Linked DNA regions of Oryzias latipes. The protein of the gene in region 4 purifies or fractionates together with the protein of the main gene of each other region. This does not show direct contact. Links are inferred from orthologs where the notes say so. Each region holds a gene or a part of one and is shown on either strand. Other genes may lie near its edges.

Evidence for each region.
Region 1: the proteins of vbp1 (region 4) and pfdn2 fractionate together in Homo sapiens (co-fractionation; 8 studies listed by BioGRID and IntAct, counting the BioPlex papers as one, with this or other methods). This does not show direct contact. The link is inferred for Oryzias latipes from reciprocal best matches to the Homo sapiens genes VBP1 and PFDN2.
Region 2: the proteins of vbp1 (region 4) and pfdn5 purify together in Homo sapiens (affinity purification with mass spectrometry; 7 studies listed by BioGRID and IntAct, counting the BioPlex papers as one, with this or other methods). This does not show direct contact. The link is inferred for Oryzias latipes from reciprocal best matches to the Homo sapiens genes VBP1 and PFDN5.
Region 3: the proteins of vbp1 (region 4) and pfdn1 purify together in Homo sapiens (affinity purification with mass spectrometry; 4 studies listed by BioGRID and IntAct, counting the BioPlex papers as one, with this or other methods). This does not show direct contact. The link is inferred for Oryzias latipes from reciprocal best matches to the Homo sapiens genes VBP1 and PFDN1.
Region 5: the proteins of vbp1 (region 4) and pfdn6 purify together in Homo sapiens (affinity purification with mass spectrometry; 6 studies listed by BioGRID and IntAct, counting the BioPlex papers as one, with this or other methods). This does not show direct contact. The link is inferred for Oryzias latipes from reciprocal best matches to the Homo sapiens genes VBP1 and PFDN6.

Annotation. Positions count from the first base shown.
Region 1 is NC_019876.2:18,973,797-18,977,901, forward strand, and holds the start of pfdn2 (prefoldin subunit 2), read left to right. Parts: upstream 1-1,295; 5' UTR 1,296-1,306; coding exon 1,307-1,417; intron 1,418-3,669; coding exon 3,670-3,758; intron 3,759-3,986; coding exon 3,987-4,105. UniProt on the Homo sapiens protein: Binds specifically to cytosolic chaperonin (c-CPN) and transfers target proteins to it. Binds to nascent polypeptide chain and promotes folding in an environment in which there are many competing pathways for nonnative proteins.
Region 2 is NC_019863.2:4,452,385-4,456,495, reverse strand, and holds the start of pfdn5 (prefoldin subunit 5), read right to left. Parts: upstream 2,810-4,111; 5' UTR 2,765-2,809; coding exon 2,675-2,764; intron 1,619-2,674; coding exon 1,516-1,618; intron 389-1,515; coding exon 357-388; intron 172-356; coding exon 97-171; intron 20-96; coding exon 1-19. UniProt on the Homo sapiens protein: Binds specifically to cytosolic chaperonin (c-CPN) and transfers target proteins to it. Binds to nascent polypeptide chain and promotes folding in an environment in which there are many competing pathways for nonnative proteins.
Region 3 is NC_019872.2:23,090,155-23,094,160, forward strand, and holds pfdn1 (prefoldin subunit 1), read left to right. Parts: upstream 1-1,197; 5' UTR 1,198-1,263; coding exon 1,264-1,362; intron 1,363-2,067; coding exon 2,068-2,234; intron 2,235-3,661; coding exon 3,662-3,746; intron 3,747-3,828; coding exon 3,829-3,912; 3' UTR 3,913-3,965; downstream 3,966-4,006. UniProt on the Homo sapiens protein: Binds specifically to cytosolic chaperonin (c-CPN) and transfers target proteins to it. Binds to nascent polypeptide chain and promotes folding in an environment in which there are many competing pathways for nonnative proteins.
Region 4 is NC_019876.2:19,822,547-19,826,776, reverse strand, and holds the start of vbp1 (prefoldin subunit 3), read left to right. Parts: upstream 1-1,426; 5' UTR 1,427-1,472; coding exon 1,473-1,553; intron 1,554-4,146; coding exon 4,147-4,230. UniProt on the Homo sapiens protein: Binds specifically to cytosolic chaperonin (c-CPN) and transfers target proteins to it. Binds to nascent polypeptide chain and promotes folding in an environment in which there are many competing pathways for nonnative proteins.
Region 5 is NC_019868.2:26,684,867-26,689,052, reverse strand, and holds the start of pfdn6 (prefoldin subunit 6), read right to left. Parts: upstream 2,802-4,186; 5' UTR 2,667-2,801; coding exon 2,603-2,666; intron 2,447-2,602; coding exon 2,376-2,446; intron 2,288-2,375; coding exon 2,163-2,287; intron 1-2,162. UniProt on the Homo sapiens protein: Binds specifically to cytosolic chaperonin (c-CPN) and transfers target proteins to it. Binds to nascent polypeptide chain and promotes folding in an environment in which there are many competing pathways for nonnative proteins.

The DNA.
Region 1 (4,105 bases), about 850 kb from region 4:
ATTTTTAAATGAAAGACTTTTTTTAAAAATACATACAGAAAAGGTTGGTTAATATTATACCAGAAGCTGTTTGCTATCACACTGTGGCAACAATCACATAGGGTCAAATTGTTATGCAGCGAAGTGATATACATTTGGTCTCTACAGGAAAAAGTTGAACATTTTAGCTGAAAATGAAAAAATAAATAAATAAAACAGTTAGACTACCCAAAGCTTTTGAAATGATCATTTCTAATTAGCAGAAACTTTTTAAAATTAGAAATGCCTTTCTTTCTTTAAATTTTATGTCATTGTAGCATGTCAGGCTGATTATTCTGTTAAAAGAAGTTAAACTGTTTTATCCTTTGATTTGTTCGAGGGAAAATGTTTACATGTTACACTTGTGTACTCTACTTGGATTTTATGGTAAAACATGTGCAAAATAATAATAATAATAATGCATTTTAGTTTCTAATTGGCCAATGCACAATCTAGTGAAACCCCGTGGTAGAAATCAATTGTTAGCTGATCAAATAAGCCTTTACTTACTTACTTACTTACTTACTAACTTACCCACTTACTTACTTACTTACTTACTTATTTACTTATTTACTTATTTACTTATTTACTTATTTACTTATTTACTTACTTACTTACTTACTTACTTACTTACTTACTTACTTACTTACTTACTTACTTACTTACTTACTTACTTACTTACTTACAGTTGTGGGGGGCAGATAGAAATTTAACTTGTTTCCCATTTTAAAAAAAAGGATCAATTTGATCTTAGTGCTGTGTCCGAATTTCCAACCTAATCACCAACTACTAAAAACGATATAGTGTCGTGGGTTTTAAAAGCAATTAGGACACCATCCTCACTATTTTTTTTCTTTTTTTAAAACGGGAAATATAACGTTACCGATTTCACGAAGTGAAAATCTGATCAATACATACTCCGTCGTAAATACAAGCAATTTACAACAACTATTTATTAATTCATTGCGTACTTGAAATAAAAAAAATATTGATTGTTTAAAAAAAAGCATTTCAACACATTGTTTTCGCAAAAAATGTTCAAAACGCAATGCATTGTCATTGATCTATGTTGGCCAATTTAATGAGCGTCGATGCACACTGGTTAATTTGCAGAGACTTCCGAGAAATTTCTTAGGAACTGGATTTTGAAATTGTAGATTCGGACAGCATTACAAAATTGCGAACGCACTGTATAGTGCACTGTGTAGTGAGTGGTAAAGGAATTTAGAGATGTATTTTTACACAGGCAGTCATGAGACTGCCTCTGCCTGTGAAAAAAAACTTTCACATGGGTCGGGTCCTTCAAGTGCACTCTATCAAGATGGCAGCCAACAGCAGCACGTTCAGCAAATCGAGCAGCAGCGCGGCTGGAAAACAGCCCGCGCAGTCAGCCGAACAGGTATCCTATTGAGTAGCGGAGTCTTTTGTCTCGGTACTCCTGAGATTGTGACATATTATTCGTATATATTCAGCAGAAAGTAACTAAACCGACGTACAGCCAGTCAGCGCTAACGTTAGCTTCCCCGTGGCCACAGAAGTGTCTTGCAGTCAGACCCATGCGAGGGGAAAGAAATTGTGAGCATGAAATTAGGTCCAATTTGTGCTATTTGCACATCATGGAATGGGATAACGTCAAAGATAAACTAAAGGTACACCATTCTGTATGTGGGTGGTGTGGCCCTCAGAATGGGTCTGACAGAGCATGATGATGCTATTTTTACTACTCAGACAGTCAACAACTATGCACAGCTCAAGGGCTACGGAAGCCTTTCATATAAGAAAAAAACTGTTTCAACACGTTGCCAAATTATTAGTATAAAGCGACGTCTTAGTGATAGACAATAACATGTAGACACACTATAGGAACAAATTAGCATAAAAATGGCAAATGTTGAAATGTATTAATCTTTATTCGATGTTTGTTGAAAAATAACATTAAAAATACATATGAACTTCAAAAAATTTTGGGGTCAAAATTAAATATTTTCATACAGGTTCAAAGAATACTGTGAATTAAGTCATATTAGGAAGTCATATTCTAAGTTATAAATTGCTCTTGATTGAAAAAAGAAAGTAAAGCTAAAAAAAATGGTACATACATTATATATAAAAAAAGTAAAACAATTTGAAATCATTAACATGGAGAAGGTTATGCATTTGGTCTGCTTAAATTGAACCAGAGTTCACTTTAAGGTCTGGGACCTTGACCCATCTTTGCAGGTGGTCTTGGTTAATTTCCAATCAGATTGAGCTCGGGTTCGCTCTAAGATTCCTCAATCTGAATACCACTGAACCTAAATGGCCACCATAGCTGACATAAACAGAGTAGGAATGTGGCTACAGATGAGCCGCGGACAAATAAGCAATTATTATCGTGTTATCAAACAGAAAAAAAGAGTTCAAGTGTTTATTTGTTAGAACGTTTATTTTAACATTGCTGAAAAGGCTACTTGCATGCTTTTCTGTATCTTGTTACGCGGCATTCGCCTGTGGCATGACTAAAAGCTATATTATAGTTTCCTTAACAGAATTCTCTAAAAACAATGCCCTAAAACCACAATGATGAGACACAGCAACTCATTGAAATGTGGTCAGATGAATGCAGGCTAATTAAAATCATTTTTAATGGGAAACACATTGTATCTCACTGCAGGCTGAAATGACACAATTCTGATTGTTTTTTGCCCCTATGCGACCTGTATCTGATCTTTTCATGACAGTCTGAACGACACAGATCCGATCTTTTCAAATGCGACCCAGGCCACTTGCGTATGTGGTCCTGAATCCGATATGTATCCGATCATTTCAAATGCGACCTCCGTCTGAACGTCCAGGCCACATGAATCCGACCCGTACGTCATTGATACGCTGCAAACATCATCATTTTTCGTTGAAGTAGGCGGGAACAAGAACATAAACATCAACCAATGGCGGACGATGCTGCTGAGACCAGTCAGTGGAAGGGAAGCGAAGTCACCGATTTGATTAATATTTGTGGTGACGGCTCTATTCAGGCCAAACTCCAGGGCTCTTTATCGCAACCATGCGGTTGCCCCTCAGAGAGGAGAGAGCGTGGCAGCCTACTCATACCCGACGTCTCGTCATCAATGCAGTTACTAGCATGCTCTGAGTTAAAGCACACACAGCACGTCTCCTTGCCACTGACCGCTTCGCAGCATGCCTTTGCCGTACCAAAGTAACAAATAAAAAGGCTTGTTCCCGACGTTCAAAACTGATAATCGAAAAAAATATAAAATTTTAATAATTTAACTGTTAAGCGGCACACGTCCACATTTCTCTTGTTTTGATCTGCCCTCGTAGTTCCTGGCCAATGACTGAAGAGATCTTTAGTCACATTGTTTTGTTTATAAGCTTTGGTCGCTAACAGAATGGGGCGCTTAACGCCAGTCTGATAAAGGCCTAACGCAAGGTTCGGAACTCGGTCCGGAACAAATTAAGCGGACTGGATCAAAAGGGACTGGGTAAAAAAAAAAACTCTCTAAAGTCACAATTTCCTTTTAAGGTTTGGTAAGTTTATTCAGCCTGAAAGCCCCTCAGTCTGAAACAGCTTACATGCTTGTGTTGGGATCAGACGGATGCGTCAAATGTCATTGGTCTGCATTGATGCCAGCTTTGCGGTGATGTTTTCAGGTGGTTGCCACCTTTCAGAGGATGCGTCAGGAACAACGCAGCATGGCGTCTAAAGCTGCAGAGCTGGAGATGGACATCAATGAGCACAGGTTAGCAGCTGATGACTTCTCCTCTGAGAGCTTTTATAATACTCACTTTTTATGTTTGATTGTTAGCAGGACAGCTAATTGGATCATGTTGGTCTGTAGTTAAATTGACCTTTTTACTTTATATACATTAAACTTAAAAAAGAAAAACATCTTGTAACTCACCTCGTCACATAACTGGTAAGTGGTAAAAGAGTAATAATTTTAATGTTTTTTTCTTTTTGTGTTCAGTTTAGTTATTGAAACTCTTAAGGAAGTGGACCCTTCTAGGAAATGCTATCGCCTGGTTGGAGGGGTTTTGGTAGAGAGGACGGTGAAAGAAGTTCTACCTGCTTTGGAAAACAACAAAG
Region 2 (4,111 bases), on a different chromosome or scaffold from region 4:
CTTTTGAATCTTTCACATTCTGGGAACAGAAACAGTAAGATTTACAGTCTACTGACTGTTTATGAAGTTCAAGTTTCAAAGTGCTTCCACTTTTACCTTTTCCACATAATATCCCGTTCCCACATCCACCAACACGTGCTCCACGTCGTTTAATGTGCCGGGGACGTACATCTGTTCAGCAGCTCTGCTTAAGGTCAATAGAAACAAGCTGTTTACAGATGCACAGCAAATGAAAACGGTTTGTTGGAGTTTATCTAATTTGTGGAACTTATTATATAAATAAACCTTTTCATGACAACTATAGACTTTGTAAATGACTACAAAAGACTAAAAATAGTTAGATGGATAAAGGATACAGAACTGGTGAGGGGGACGAGTAATTCTTTTCCTGTATGGAAGAAAGAGGGAAAGTTGTTAAATTCAACCATCTGTATATATTAGACATTCTGTAGCCTCCAAGACTGAAGGACAGTCGGAGACTTGGACCTGGGACTTGAGTGACACTTCAGCCTCACATGCACTGACTTGACATTTGACGTCAAGGGCTTAAAACACGACTTGGAGCTTAGGATTTAGGATGTGTGTACGATACGTATTTGTTTATTCTTGTTATTTCGCTCCGTAACATCACTGTCACCTTGAAGCTCATCAAGAGAATGCCAAGAGTGTGCAAAGCAGGAATCAAAGCAAAAGGTGTCGTAAAATACTTTTTTCTTTGTGTTTATTTGATTATATTAAAGACTTTTAAATAAGAATGACGGTACCGTGATTTAGCTGCAGTATTAACTGTTTTCTGAAAAGTCCCGCCCCTTTAACTGTCTCCGCCAATCATTCTTGGAGTCTTAATCATACGTCATCAGTCTGACCAATCAGAAGTGGTTAAAGTCTTCACTTCCTTGTTCCATTTCTGCTCATAAAGTCTCTCAGTTCCAACAAAAATACCAGCTAAAGCTCGTCTTTAGCGGTGTAGCTTTCCACAGAATCCGGTGTCAGACCGTGGAACAAGGGAACAAAACCATGAAGCTCCAAGACGCCAGTCTGTCTGGCGTTTGCCGGCTGTTGACACTACATCTCCCATGATGCATTGGGTTAAAGTGGCAGCGTATCAGTGTACAATGAGTCTTCCTTTGACGTCTTGAAACCACAACGAACACACACCAAACAGTTTTTAAATCTTCTAACTTAACTTTTATTACATCTTTTAGAAAACCAGCTGCAGCTTCCAGCTTTTTCTGCCACAATGATCACAACAATGCATGTGAGATTGCAGAGGGGCTGTAGATCAAAACAGACTAGGAGTTTTATTTTTATTTTTGGATGCTGGTGTGCCACAGGATTTTTGTCAAGGTTAAAGTGTGCCGTGGCTCAAAAAAGGTGTGAAAACACTGATCTATGCGCACGTGGTGTGACGGTTAAAAGAGGTGCCATCCTAAGCAAAGTTAGAAGTAAAACTATAAAACATTTTTTAAAACATTAATGATCAAACAAATTACCAGTAAGGGACATTTTACATACCTTTGTTGTTTTCGGTCAGTACATTTAAACTGTCTTTTGCTTCAACATACTTGGTCTGCACAACTTTGAACTGGCCAATTGAAGAAGTCAAGAATTCAACTTCCTGGGAAAAAAAACACAGCATGAATTTCAAAAAAGCAATTAAAAAAAATTAAAAGAAACACCCCAGAGGAGTTCCATCTATGTACTCAGATACACCACCATTCACTAGTTTTAGAAAACGAATGTTTCCAGTTTTTTATTGACGCATAAGTGTGATGTTTTGTTGCATTGTGAAACAAAACTGATAGTAAAGCTGAGAAACTGAGGTTGCAAAAGCAGATCCTGGAAATGACCAAGTTATGCCAACACTCCTGCTGCCCCGTGGCCACAGTTTGCAGAAATGTTGAGCTGGCAGTTTCTTTCGGCCACCAAGCGCGGTCTGGACGGCGCTCAGCTGGAAATGATCGCACACAGGCTTTTTGGTAACGGTTTCAGTCGTGCTTTTGTGCAATTTTTCTTTCCAGCACGATTGTGTTCAATAATTTAGGTAGTTTTTCATTAACATAGTCATATCCTGAAATGCTACAACAATTTACTTCAGTGAGTGATGTTGTTATTTGATTAATTTTGTAGATGTTTAGCACTGACATCTGCCACATAGAGGTAAACTACACTAAACTGCACACCTGTGACTACTTCACCAGGATAGATTCTGTTGCATTTCTTGAATTCATTAGAATTTATAATAATTCCCAACGCCAGAATGCCTTATCAATAAGGGTATTATATGTTCTAGGGGTGTAAGAATAAACGTAGTTGAACCGAAGCGTTTCAGTACAGCAGGTTCGGTTCAGTTCACTTCTGTACCGTTAGGTACGTTTTTTCCCCCGGATGTGTGCATTGTAAAAACTCAGCTGCTTTGTCACTCATAGCGGGTGTATTGGTTGAATGACAACAATAAGCCTGATTCAAAATTTAACAAAAAAATGTAAATAATATAATGATAAGGCCAGGCAAGTTCAAACTGTGACTCATTTCTCTTAACTCTTGAAGGTCGCTACCCATCCTGTCTATGTATCAATTAAATCCTATAAAGTCTAAGGACAAATTGTAAAATAAACTATTGTCGGTTTTTTCTCTGTCAACTCAAAAACCCTTCTTTACAACCGAGCAGCACCTGAAACTCCACGCCCCTGCGGGGAAACATCATGACCCTCCGCGGCCGCTGCGCTGCTCTCATTCCCGCCTTTAGCGTAGACGCCTTCATGAAGAAGCAGCGGTCACATATTCAGTCTAAACTCACGCATTTTACCTGGTCCAGCTGGCCTTTGAGTCCTTCTAACTGCGGCAGAGAGAGGTCTGTGAGATTCACCGCCATGTTGGAAGCGTGGTGACAAAAGACGGATTCTTCTTCCGGTTGCGAGATGTACTTCCGGTTGACATATTTTCCGGTTTATTAGAACATGAAAGCTGTTTCAAAGTAAATATGATTTAAAATGAAATGCAAAAAATAAATAAATAAAAGGAAAGAAGAAAACTTCCTTTTTAAATATGTTGACTAGCTCTAGTTTATATGACTATTTTCTAACGCAGACTCTGCATAACAGTTTCTTTGATTGAAATTGAATGGGTTTTTTTCTGCAGAATATTAAAATTACGATAAGCATGAAGGTCAGTCGTAGTAAGACAGAATACATGTGTCTGAATGAGAGGGATCAAGGTAGAAGCGTTAGGTTACAGAGGGCTGAGGTGAAGAAGGTGCAGGAGTTTAAGTACTTGGGGTCAACAGTTCAGTGTGATGGGGAGTGTGGAAAAGAGGTGAAGAGGCGAGTGCAGGCAGGTTGGAGCAGTTGGAGGAAAGTGTCAGGAGTGTTGTGTGACAGAAGAGTGCCAGCAAGACTCAAAGGAAAGGTGTACAAGACAGTGGTGAGACCAGCTCTGCTCTATGGGTTAGAGACGGTAGCAGTGAGACAGAGACAAGAGGCTGAGATGGAGGTAGCGGAGATGAAGATGTTGAGGTTCTCCTTAGGAGTGACCAGGTTAGACAGGATAAGGAACGAGTACATCAGAGGGACGGCTCATGTTGCCTGTGTTAGCGACAAAGTCAGAGAAGCCAGACTGAGATGGTTTGGACATGTTCAGAGGAGGGATAGTGGATATATTGGTAGAAGGATGTTGGAGATGGAGCTGCCTGGCCGGAGGGCAAGAGGACGGCCAAAGAGGAGATACATGGATGTCTTAACAGAGGACATGAAGTTGGCTAACGTTAGGGTAGAAGATGTTCATGATAGAGTGAGGTGGAAAAGGATGATTCGCTGTGGCGACCCCTGATGGGAAAAGCCAAAAGAGAAAGAAGATTAAAATTACGATAAGAGACCATGGAAACGTACAATAATCTGGTTTTTAATTTAGTCAATTACATCTGCAGGTTGAACAACTGCCATGCAGTCTGTGGGTCAAGTATAGGGGCCCATACTTGTTCTAGTTTGCATATCAGTTACACGAAGCATTTGGCTGCATGTCATACTGTGTGTTTGTGACAAATATTTGAACTTTCTATTTTTGCTTAATATTTATTCAATATTGAAACATGCAGATTAATGACCTAGTATTT
Region 3 (4,006 bases), on a different chromosome or scaffold from region 4:
AAAACAGAAATACCCCTGTACACAAGGTGGCGCTGCGCAACTTTACGCTTCTTAAAGTCGCTTTTCACTCAGAAGAAGAGAGCAAGTATTTACGCGCTTGTCAGAATCAAACAAAGAAAACATGAATATTTCCAGCACCAGTAGCTCCAGTTCCAGCAATGAAGAAATTATTGTTCTGTTGAATGATGTGTTGCACCGAGTAAAGACTGATAACTGCCGTAAAGCAAGTCAAAGTTTTATTAACACAGGATCATTATTTGCAGTACAATACCTTTATACCGATGACACCACAGCAAACGATGAAAGACGCTGGAAAAGACGCAGATTTTGGGTACATCCCATAGTTACGAGAAGAGAAGAACATGGGGAGTTTTATCGACTGGTACGAGAGCTAAAAATGTATCATGAGCGTTTTCGGGGATATTTTAGAATGTCCGTCATTATTTCTTTGCGGCAGTGTAGATTCCACTTGGCGTCTTATCTTCTTCGCTGGTATGTGTGCTCAGAAAGGCAGTTTTGTGTTTGAGCGCCCCCAAGTTGTGTTTTACTGTAACTTCAGAAGCTCCAGACACGTGTCCAAAAGCCCCATTCTCATTAGTCGTATAGTTTTTGCCGCGTGGCGCCAAACCAAAAAAACGAACCCGAGGCATTTTTTATAAAGTGACGCTTTGAAGCGTGGCGTTTTTTCACGTCGGTGTGCACACTCACATTGGTGCCCTTTGTTTAGTCATGAGGCGTTAAACATCGGCGAATATCGCGCGCGAAATTCGTCCCGGTGTGTACGGGCCTTAACTGGCCACCTCTGCCACGAATCTCGTTCAGTGTGAACGCACCTTAAATGTAACCATAACACTAAACTTAACCTTTCCTCTGGGTCCGGGTGTTCAAGAATTAAGTTTTGCACTGGCCACAAGTATTTGGAAAATGACGTGTGAATAGTGCTATGCAAGTGTATTCAACAATTTTTACAATTTCTGGGACTGTCTATCGGTCTTCACTCAGGCAAGACGCAGCTTGCAGATAGGGGGAATCGAGGGCGGAGCTAATCAGCACCAATAGCCACGCCCATGTAGAGGAGTTCTTGGAAACACGCTTCAGATAAACATGACATTTTAAAGACATTTGGCTTGTGGAATTTTAGTTAAAAAAAACGTCGTAATTGTAACTAAAACACCACTGGGAACGTTTTTATTTTTTTTAAAAAAAAGGTCACGGGGAGTTTAAATAGATCATCGTTACTGGGAGGGGCTGTGGGCAAACTTGATGCTGCCACAAAATAAGCCCGAAGAAGACAATCTTGCGCATGCGCACTCGAAATCTACTCTAAAGATGGCGGCGCCCGTGGACCTGGAACTAAAAAAGGTGTGTAGTTTACAGGACGCCGAACACATCATATGTCTGACGCACGTGGTTGCGCATACTCTCCGATATTGGGTTACAGGCAGCTACCGCTGGTAGTTATTAGTGTGACCCATACCGCATTCAGTGGTGCACGCGGAAGGTTCACGAAATTCGGCTGACCGGTCACTTCACTAGTAACAAACATGTGAACCGGACCATTGTGTACCTGCACCGAATCTTTGAACCCCTTAGAGCAAAATGAGTTTTGAGGTTGCCCCCCCCCCCCCATCTCTTTGAAACGGCCGAGCATCCTTTCTGATCGGGTGGACCATATTCCAATCCCACAATCCTTTGCGGTATTAACACTGAGACAAAAGATGATGGGGTTTGAGGAAACCAGATTATGACAAACATGCTTGTAAATGTTAAAGTCCAGTTTTCCATCTTTCAGTGTCGTGGATTATTTTAGGTCAGATGTCGTTTTTTTTTTTTACCTCCTTTATGCAAACATTTAAATGGTCCAGGTTTATATCTTCATAGACTACCTTCATGTAGCAGATCGCTTTGCTTGTTAACTGATTTACAGGAGAGGCAGTGTTTCATTTTTCTGTTTGACTTCCTGAATCAAGCCAGAGAAAAGGAAGAGATGGGAGAAATAGTGAAACTCTGATTCTCTCCTGGTTTCCTTTTCGACTTTGAACAGAGCGATACTTCCTGTCTCTGCAGGCATTCGCCGAGCTACAGCTGAAGATGATTGACACACAGCAGAAGGTGAAGCTGGCCGACCTCCAGATTGATCAGCTGACTCGAGTTCAGAAACATGCCAAGCTCACAAGCACAGAGATCTCCTCGCTGCCGGAAAACACGCGCCTGTACGAGGGCGTCGGCCGAATGTAAGTGTGCTCTCCTGTAATCAATGCCAACTCACCAAAGAACACAGATGAGTTAGACACATCTGAAAAACATGAAACCAGTCTGGTTTTTCCATCAAATGTCTGGTTCTGCTTTGGAAATCTCAGTGTCACACGGTTCTACTGCAGTTGTGAAACCATGTGCCTCTTATTTTGAAAACTTTACATTTATTTTAAGGAGATCTCCACCAGATTCACATAAATTTCTTTTTGGAGAGGTTTTGATTGGCCTCATTGATGCTACTGAGGCTCCATGAGAGTTCCAGACAGAGGAATTCTGTCTGACCTGATTGACTTTATGAACTTCACATCCAGTCAACACTTTTATACACAAGTTTGAAGAGGATGTGCGTTTAGCAACTGATCTGCACAAACACTGAGCTACATAAGGGTTAATGGCCAACAAAGTGTGCTTTATCAGCATTAATGCACTTTATGCGTTAATGCTGATAGCACTCTTGCCTCGGAGCAAGAAGGCCACTGGTTCAAGTCCCGGCTGGGGGACCTGAAACAGAACATCAATGGGGGACCTTTCTGCATTGAGTTTGCATGTTCTCCTCGTGCATGCATGGGTTTTCTCCGGGGTCTCCAGCTTCCTCCCACCGTCCAAAAAGATGCTCCATAGGTTAATTGGCAACTCTAAATTGTCCATAGGTGTGAATGTGAGTGTGAATGGGTGTGTGACTGTGACCCTGCGGCAGACTGGCGACCTGTCCAGGGTGTCCTCTGCCTTCACCCATAAGTGGCCGGGATAGGCTCCGGCAGCCCCGTGACTCCGAAAGGGAACAAACGGAAGAAAATGAATGAATGAATGCACTTTGTGGAAGCAACCGTCCTCCGCAGTTGCTTCCATAAAGTGCATTAATTTCTGATTGTGCCCACTTTGACAGCCGTTAATCCGCTGCTACCATGATTACTTACAAAAGAAATAAATATATAACCAGTTTTTAGGCCTTTCATTCTAACATTTTTATGGTTCCAATCTCTTTTTTTTCTCTTCACAAAAAGTCGACTATTTGTTACGTGTCACGGTAACATAACGCGCTGCTTAGCCCCACTGACCTCGACTGCTGCGGCAAAGGAAAGCAATATATATGCTGATCGTCACCACGGGTTAAATAAAGCATCAGTTCAGAGAGAAAGTTTACCTCTTTTAGTCCAGATGATGAGGCTGAAGTTTGTTTTAAAGAAGCCAGTGCAGTGATACAGAACAGTTAAGCTATGTGCCCGGAACTTCTTTTTTAGGCGTACATTATCACCGTGGATTATCACTTTAATGCACACCCAGCAGCCAATCAGAATCGAGTATTCACCCGGACCATGGTATAAAGAAACGTTAATGTCTGAATGCTGCCTTTAGGTTCATCTGCCCTGCCGATCCTATAGATGACAGAAAACTGTTGTTTCAGGTTCATTCTTCAGTCCAGGGAGAAGATCAACAACCTGCTGACAGACAAACAGAAAACCGTGGACGAGAAGATCAAGGAGCTTGAGGTGCGAGTGCCTGCTCCATCACAGCTCGCAGTGCATGTTTGCGGGTTTCTGACTGTTGCTGCCCGTTTGTGGTCTCTTGCAGCAGAAGAAGGTGTACTTGGAGCGCAGCGTGAAGGAGGCTGAAGACAACATCAGAGAGATGCTGCTGTCCAGAAGAGCTCCGTAATCCGTTTTTTTTCTGTGCCACGTGATCCCAATAAAGCCCCTCCCACCCCTCTGTGTTGGTGTGAAGTGTCTCCTAAAGGTCTGTGAGGACCATG
Region 4 (4,230 bases):
ATTCTTGAATCGAAAGGAGACATTCTTCAATTAAGCAATTTCAAAAGCAAATATGATATTGAATTTTCAATTAAGGAATTTCAGAATTAATTAAGGAATTTCAGAAAGCAATTCCAATTGCTTTAGTACATGTAATAAACACTAAAATGTTGTTTTCCAGTGTTCAAGTAAAATTACCAAATTTAGTAATAGGTGAAACAAAATTTACGGAAGAAAAATGTGATAATAAAGGTACAAACAAATCCCTTAAAGGTAAATCATGCCATTACTATAATAGTAAAGTTAAATATTAGGTAACTGAGGCACCTGTCTTATTGGGTGCTCAACAATGGAAATTCATAAAATGGCCCATACTCCGAGATTTAAGAAATGCAATTCAAGATTATAAACAATTATTACCCATTGGCAGAGACGTTAAGGGGTGGATTTGACTTTAAGGTTGATCCTGATTACTCCAGTTTCTTCTCTGATGCCCCCATGCTCGTTATCGACCCCTGCCTGCCTGACCCTGATTTAGATTTGTGAACTTTTAGCTGTGCTAATAAAACCTGCTGCAATTGGAACCAGGCACCTGCCCATTTTGTGACACATTTGATATCAATGACAATATGATATCAATCTGAGGGGCTGTGGCTCAGGTGGTTGAGCGGGTCGTCCAATGATCGAAGGGTCGGCGGTTCGATCCCTGCTCCCCCCAGCCAACTGTCGTTGTGTCCTTGGGCAAGACACTTCACCCTCCTTGCCTCCAGTGTGGCTCCACTGGTGTGTGGATGTGCATGAATGTCCTGGTGATGGTCAGAGGGGCCGTAGGCGCGAACTGGCAGCCACGCCTCTGTCAGTCTGCCCCAGGGCAGCTGTGGCTACAACAGTAGCTTACCATCACCAAGTATGAACGAGGAGTGAATGAATAATGGCCACAATGTAAGCGCTTTGAGTGACTTGAAAAGCGCAGATAAATCCAATCCATTATTATTATTATTATTAATATAAATCACCAAACATTATGATTAAGATGGATTAATTACATTAGTTGTGGAAACTTTTCTAATCAAATATGTTTTATGCTCAGGAATATTTTTAAAATATTTTCACATTTCAGAGAGGAAAAATAAGTCTAAAGTTGTTTTCCCTTTGACTAACATGAAGCACTGATTTTGTGCAGACTTTTGTCCTGTTCTTTGGTCATGTTTTAGGTCTCATAACTTTGTGAAACGTTTAGTTGATTTTTATATCATATATATTATATATCATGAGCTGATTTTGCGCTGATTTGAAATGTGTATTAACAATTTAAAAGGTTTGTTCTTTATGTTGCAGTTAGTCTTTTACTTTTTATTTCTCTGACAGTCAAGCCATGGCAGCGGTTTAGTGCAGCTATCCATTCTGACCGATGGAGGCAGCAAATCCCCTTCCTTTTCTGAGACGCCTTGTGCGCATGCTTGAATGTCAGGAAAGAGGATTCTATCTTCAACATGGCGGCGACCATAGATCCCAGCAATGCTTCACAGGCGACAAAGAAAAAGCACCTCGGCATCCCTGAAGCAGTGTTTTTGGTGTGTAAAGTTTAGTTTTTTTATCTATCGATATTTGGTGCCTGTTATACGTTTTTGGTCACAGCTATTGGCTAGGCGCCTCGTGCTAGCTTGGTAGCATATAGAAGCTAACAGATTATCCGCTCTGTGTGCATGCTGGGCGGCTGCCAGCTTCCATTTATGGTCATCACCGGCCGGGTGGAAACTTTGGGCTGCGTGTGCAGGCTTTTTTAACTTCTGCTTTTTTCTTTTTCTTTCTTCGCAAACAATATTAAACACGAACCCTATATTACCTGCGGATACGTTTCATACATTTTCTCGACTAAGTGTATTGTCCATAATTAGACAAGCAATTGATTAATAATTGGAAATAACTAAAATGTCGTGAGCTTTTTTCATTTATATTTACCATTCTTGTTGTGTTGTGTTTCAATCGCTAATGTAAGTGTTTGCATTTTGATATCGATGCAATTAAATGGAAAGAAGTGACTAGTTTTTATATAGATTTTTTTATTGTTTTGTAGTCTTGTAAAAAAAAAAAAGTAATATTCAGGGATAGTTGGGGGTTTAAATAGAACCAGTCAATATTTAAAACAATAAGCTTAAGTCAATAATAGCCTACGTGCACGATAGAACTTCCGGTTAACTTCCGTGTTTCGAGTGTGAGGCCGACAACTTCCTGTTGGTCGTGTTATTGTTGTGTGGAGTTTTGTTGAGTTGCTAGTTTTGAGTAAATAGGAGCGGATTTCGGGTAAAAGAAAGGCGTTTGTTGTTTCAACGCGTGAAAAAGACATCACAACATTGTTGTGTACCCGTGTTCGAATTTGTCAAAGTACAACAGTACTAATATAAGCTTTCTTAGCTTTCCAGTATATGTGTCGGCGAGAGCCGAATGGATGGTGAACACGGCGGGAGGACTTCACCCCAAGCAAGACGAGTCGTGTTTCGTATTTGCAGCAATCGGAAAGAAAATGCGTCATGTAAACACGCCGATCAGAATACTTTGCCCCGGTCAGACTCGTTCGGATCGAAATTTCTTTCCGATCGAGATAGCTGGATATACCGATCGTTGTTCATGTAAACGGTCATTCCGATCGTGTGTCACTGCTGCTCTGGGTTACGTCACGCATAGACGGTGTTTCGCTGAGAGAAAGCTAGTGAGCTCATGCGGGACCGACCAGCGGCTCTGCGGACGCCTCGCGTAAAGCGCCGCTCCGCTCTCGCCCCGCTGGCTCTCCCCTCTCTTTCACCCCTCACGAAGGACATGCGGGGGGGATGCGTGTCCACTGAGGTCTGGACCCAGCATCCGAGCTCTGCGTTCGGGCTCCGGTGCCAGTGGACCGAGTGAACCTCTCTGAGCAGAGCAGCCGGATTTATTAATGTGTTTGAGGGGAGGGTGCTTTGTTACGTGTGCGTTTTGTTATGTGTGAGAATTCGGACTGCAAGCCGAACCGCCGCTCTGGGTTAGCGGCTGCCGGACTCGCGAGGACAGAGCAGAGCACACAGTGTGTGTGAGCTTTTCAGAGCAGAAATGCCGCTCAGTCCTTAGAAACTGTTCAAAAAAATCACGACACATGGAATTGTGTTTCTAATTGTGCCCAGACAAATAAAGGCTGATCATTTACGTGCAGCCAGGATGCAGATTGCAGCGGTTCCCACATGGTTTGTCCTGGATTTTGTCTCCATCAAAAGGCTAATGTTGTTAGCCCGTGTTGTTAGCCTATCCTAACACTGGGTTGTTCTTCAGTTCTGTTCTTCTTCCACAAAAAAAGCACTGACAACAAGGATTAAATATAAAATGATGAGCGAACAGGCACTTCATAATATTCATAAAATTTAATAAAAGCACGTTTGGAAGATCGCCTCGTATATTACCGAGCTGCTGCATAAATATGTGACAGCACAGGTTTGTCTAACGGGACGCATTTCCTTTCGGTATTTTCGACACTATATATTTTAGACACGATATTTTGCCCATGTAACCATGCACTGGTCGACAATCCTGTAGATGTCGTTCACGTCGATTTTCGGGAGACCTTGTAGAAAACGGGTGAAATATGCCATCTTTCGCAATCAAAATCTGCCGTGTCGCTGCTATAGAAGTCGCAAGCCGGAAATGGTCGGCCTCACACTCAAGGCGGCGGAAGTAGAACTCCTTACTTTCGTGCACGGAGCCTATTAAATCAAATTTAGCTTATAGTAGTTTAATACATTTAATATTGCTATTACTATGATTATTATTAAACTATACTTTTTCAATATTTTTATGTGTAAACCTCCCAAGTCGTAGTATATGTTATCGTCTTAAGTTTGTATTTTGTTTTTCGTGTTAATTCTCCCCAAGCTTTTTTTAAGATATATATTATTGTTAAGTTCCTAAATTGCATTGGTGTTTGAAAAAATTTCCAATCAACTTAAGGGAAAAAAACACCTCTAATAATGGAGAAATAATTGATAAAGAATGTTACTCTGACGTTTAAAGCCATGATCTTTATGGCTTTTTTGTGGGGTTTTTTTTTTTGTTTTTTAAAAGATCAATAAACGTCCAACATTTGGACTTCGCCAATGGTCAAATAAATTTGTCAGAATTCTCTCTTTAAACTCTGGTTCACAGGAGGATGTCGACTTTTTTATGAAGCAGCCAGGCAATGAGACGGCAGACACCGTCCTGAGGAGGCTGGACGAACAGTACCAGAAA
Region 5 (4,186 bases), on a different chromosome or scaffold from region 4:
CCTGAAGTAACCAAAGCACGTGACCAGTATTATAAAGAGAAGTCTAAGAAAAAATACAATTTTAAAGACAGAAAAAACGCTCAATAATAATCTCCAACAGGATGAATGAGCTGCTGTAAAAACAAAAGACTTGTTTTTACAACACAGTACAGAATATCAAAGCTAATTCTTGTTTTAACTGAAGAAAGAATTACCTATAGAAAATAACAGGCAAAATACTTGTACAACATAGATATGTAAATAAATAAACAAGAACCTAAAATAGTGTGACACAATCCTCCTTTTGATTAATGCTAAAGTCATTTTTGACAGATTTAAGATACAAACTGCTTTACGATTTCAGTGTCCGACGTTAAAAGATGAAATACAAATGACACTAGGGCTGCACGATATGAGGAAAACTCGCGATATGCGATATTGGTGATTAATATTGCGATAACGATATAATTTGCGGTATATAAACAAATGTCAAACCAACCAAAAACATAATTTCCATTTCAATGCAACAGTATAAAAATCATACTCCAAATGACCCTTGTCGACGTAGGAGGCAAACATCAAACATAAAAGGGCTCATTTGATTGATCAACAGCGTAAACGGGTCCTTCCGATTGGTTAAATGCATAAAGGGATTTATTTCATTTGTTCAATATTTCAAGCTGCCATGAGTTTGTTTTAGCACACTTAACCCTTGTGCTATCTTAGATGACCCCCCCCTTACATTGACGTGTTCTCCCTACCATGACAAAGGTGGACAAAGGTGGAAAGATTTCATGTAATCCATGGACACCAGTGAAGATCACAAATTATTGAAGAAAAATTGTTCAGTGCACTGTCTAGTGGGTCTAGATGACCCAACTCCCAATGTTAAAGTGCCTAGGATAGCACAAGGGTTAAGGTAACCATTTATTGCGATTTTCGCCGTCTTTTGCGGTATGCATATTGCACAGCTTGATGTCGCGATAACGATAAATTTGCGGTATATTGTGCAGGCCTAAATGACATAATGAGACGATAAAAGCTAATAAATAGGTTAATGTCAGAATATTTATTCACAATTACTATTCATTTGTTTAAAATAAATGATAGTTTGTATTAATTGAACAAACAATTTAACAACTACAAACATAATGATATGAAATATAATATTATGGGGAAAAAACCTGTCCAAAAGTATCTCAGATGCATGGACAGCAAATATAAAACTATTTTAACTTTAAGAACATGTAAATATTATATGACATAATTAATTTAAGGCCCCAAACGGACAGCTGTGGGATCCCATTTATTTCTTTTTTGAAGGTACAACCAGCCAAGGTCAACTTTTATTTCTGCACAACCCTTTTTTCATCAGCCACTTTTCATCTTCCATTAATTTAAAAGAAACTATGAGTACAGTCTTTATTATATATTAATGTAAAAAAAAACACAAGCATATCTGTGACATGCATCTGTTTTCCCCAGCATAAAGTGTGTCACAGTAATGAAAAAAAGAAATATTTCTATTGAATGAAGCAACATAATACCTGATATAATCACTTAGCAACACTGTTAATTTAATTTTAAAGCAAAAGCTGTATTCATTTTTTTAATATATTATTTTATTTCCCCCAAAATTTGACTAATTACTCATCTGGGGCACATTGGACCCCATTTATAATGTAAAGATATAAGATAGTTTTCTGTCTGCTAAAATGTCTATATGTTTAAATACTACAATTATGGGTTTCAGGTCAAAAATTAAGCCTTCACCTTTCAACTGTCAGTCTTAGGATATAAGATTGTATCAGTAGAAATTGAATATTAAAAGGTTCAAGGTATGGCGTAAATTTAAGGCAAATTATGTGATTCTATATTCTATAAAGACAGCTTAAATCAGGTGTTCTCGTCGTGCATTTTGTTTCTCTATTTATTCAAGGTAGAACTCAGAATTTGTGGTCAAAATTTTACCATGGCGACGAAATATGTTCAAGTCTATCCTGAATTTTCAGAACTACCCATAAAAACTAGATTTCCAGCTTCTGTGGCTGATATTTCATTACAAATAAATGACTATAAACGTCTCTGCTTATAGTAAGTGCTATATATTATAAACTAAAGCTTGAAAATATCATTTTAACTAGGGCATCCCATACATTTTCTTTTGTATTTCTTTTCCTTACATTTCTCCATTGATGTACTCCAGTCTTTTTGTGACCGTGGCCTTGGCTTCATCCAAGTCTTGCTTCACTAAAACTGGACCGATAAGCTTGTAAATGGTGTTAGAACTGTCCAGCAGATCGAGCTCCTGGAAATATACAGGTCACATCTTCAGTCAAACTGAACATAAAGATATCTAATGGACAAAAACATGTTGTTAAGGGTTAGGCGTGTACCTCTTTGACTATGTTGTTTTCTGTCAGCTGCGTCTCCAGTTTCTGCCTGACGGACATACTTTTACTCACATCTGAAAAAAAAACAGACATTTGTAAGTTGTATTTCTTTTAATACGTCAAATCTCAAAGTTACTTTAAATATTTGAAACATGGGTGCAGGCATGGCTAACTAACTGCTGCCCGATGGTAACAACATCATGGCACACTAGCAGCTAACAGGTACCTACCTTTCTGCACCTGCGAATATTTTTCTAATTCCGCTTTTAATTTCTTTTGAATTGCATCTGCCATGTTTTATGACTTGTTTGTAATAACCGTGTAAACGTTAAATAAATGTATCTAGAGGTTTCAGAGCTAACAACACAGAATGGGAGAACTGCGCTAGCTAACCGGAAGGAGCGACGGATTTAGCGGAAGTTGTGAAAGATTCACTGCCATCCAGAAAATCGGAGTTTCCGCAGTCGTACAAGAGAAGAGTTTTATCAAATATTTTCTATTTCTGTCCAATGTATATCATATTAGATGAAGAAATTGCATGAAATTTGAAAAATATCTTATTTGATTAGGATTTTTTTGACTTAGTAGTTATACACACAAGTTATTACATTATTCTCATAGTCGAACAATAGAAGATAATAGATATTTTAAACTTTGAATTGCACACATAACATTTAAAAATAAAATTAATTGCTGCCACATCTCATTCAAAAAGGTATGGATAAATCTTGGTCCACCAGCTCTGATCAGTCTAAGGGGATCTCCAACATGGAAAGAGTTGATGTCCTCTCTGTATTAAATCATAATAAATCATGTAAGGGGCTAATACCTGGCATCAAGCCACTGACCTTCAAAAATCACAAGAGAAATGAAAATTGGTTTTAAAAAAAAAGTGAGACGGCAGTTGCCCAATAAAGTGGTGGACACTCAGGGACTGTGACCCTAAAACTGGGAGAAAGATTTAAGATCAACTTTATTAATCCACTTTCAAGATCAACTTTATTAATCCACGAAGGGAAATTTGAGAAAAGCGATTCTTCAACAATAGTTTTGCCTTGGTTTGCTTTACATCAATAAACAATAGAACCTTGGAAGGTTTAGTAAGTCAGATAAGTAAGTTGAGGAATAAATGTTTGTATGGACCCTTTGTGTGCGTGTGTGTGTGTTTGTTTGAACAACTTGTTCACCTCTCGGCAGATCCCGTCATTTGTCACCACAGTGGTATTTTGATTGGAAATAAATTGTAGTATTTGTAGTATCATTGTTTTAATGAAAAATCTAAAATGCAAAAGTGGTAAGTAGTAGTAGTAGTAGTTGCTGTAATGGTAGTACATTTGTATGGGTTTTTTTTTTTATTAAAAATCTAAAATACATAGCAGTTGCAGAACTAGCATCATTATTATTTGAACAAAAACCTAAAATAAACAGTAAGCCTGTGGTAGTAGTAGTAGTAGTAGTAGTAGTAGTAGTAGTAGTAGTAGTAGTAGTAGTGGTCATGGAAGTAGTATCGTTTTGATGATTCAAAATCTAAAATACTTAGTAGTCGTATCATCATGTTTTGAACGAATTTCTAAAATACACAACGAACGCTGTTACTGATGGGAAGATTTTGGTTTTAATTATGCAATGAAAAAAAATTAGACAACCACACATCACAGAAAATCAACAAAAACGTTTTAAAGACTTTCTTTTACTTATTTATTTATTTTACAGAAAATGCAACTAAGAAAACTGCCACGAATGTACAGAAAAACTGTGTAAATTTAGGAATTAATACAAATATTTTCCGTCGTGTTTTATTCCGTCAGCGGGCG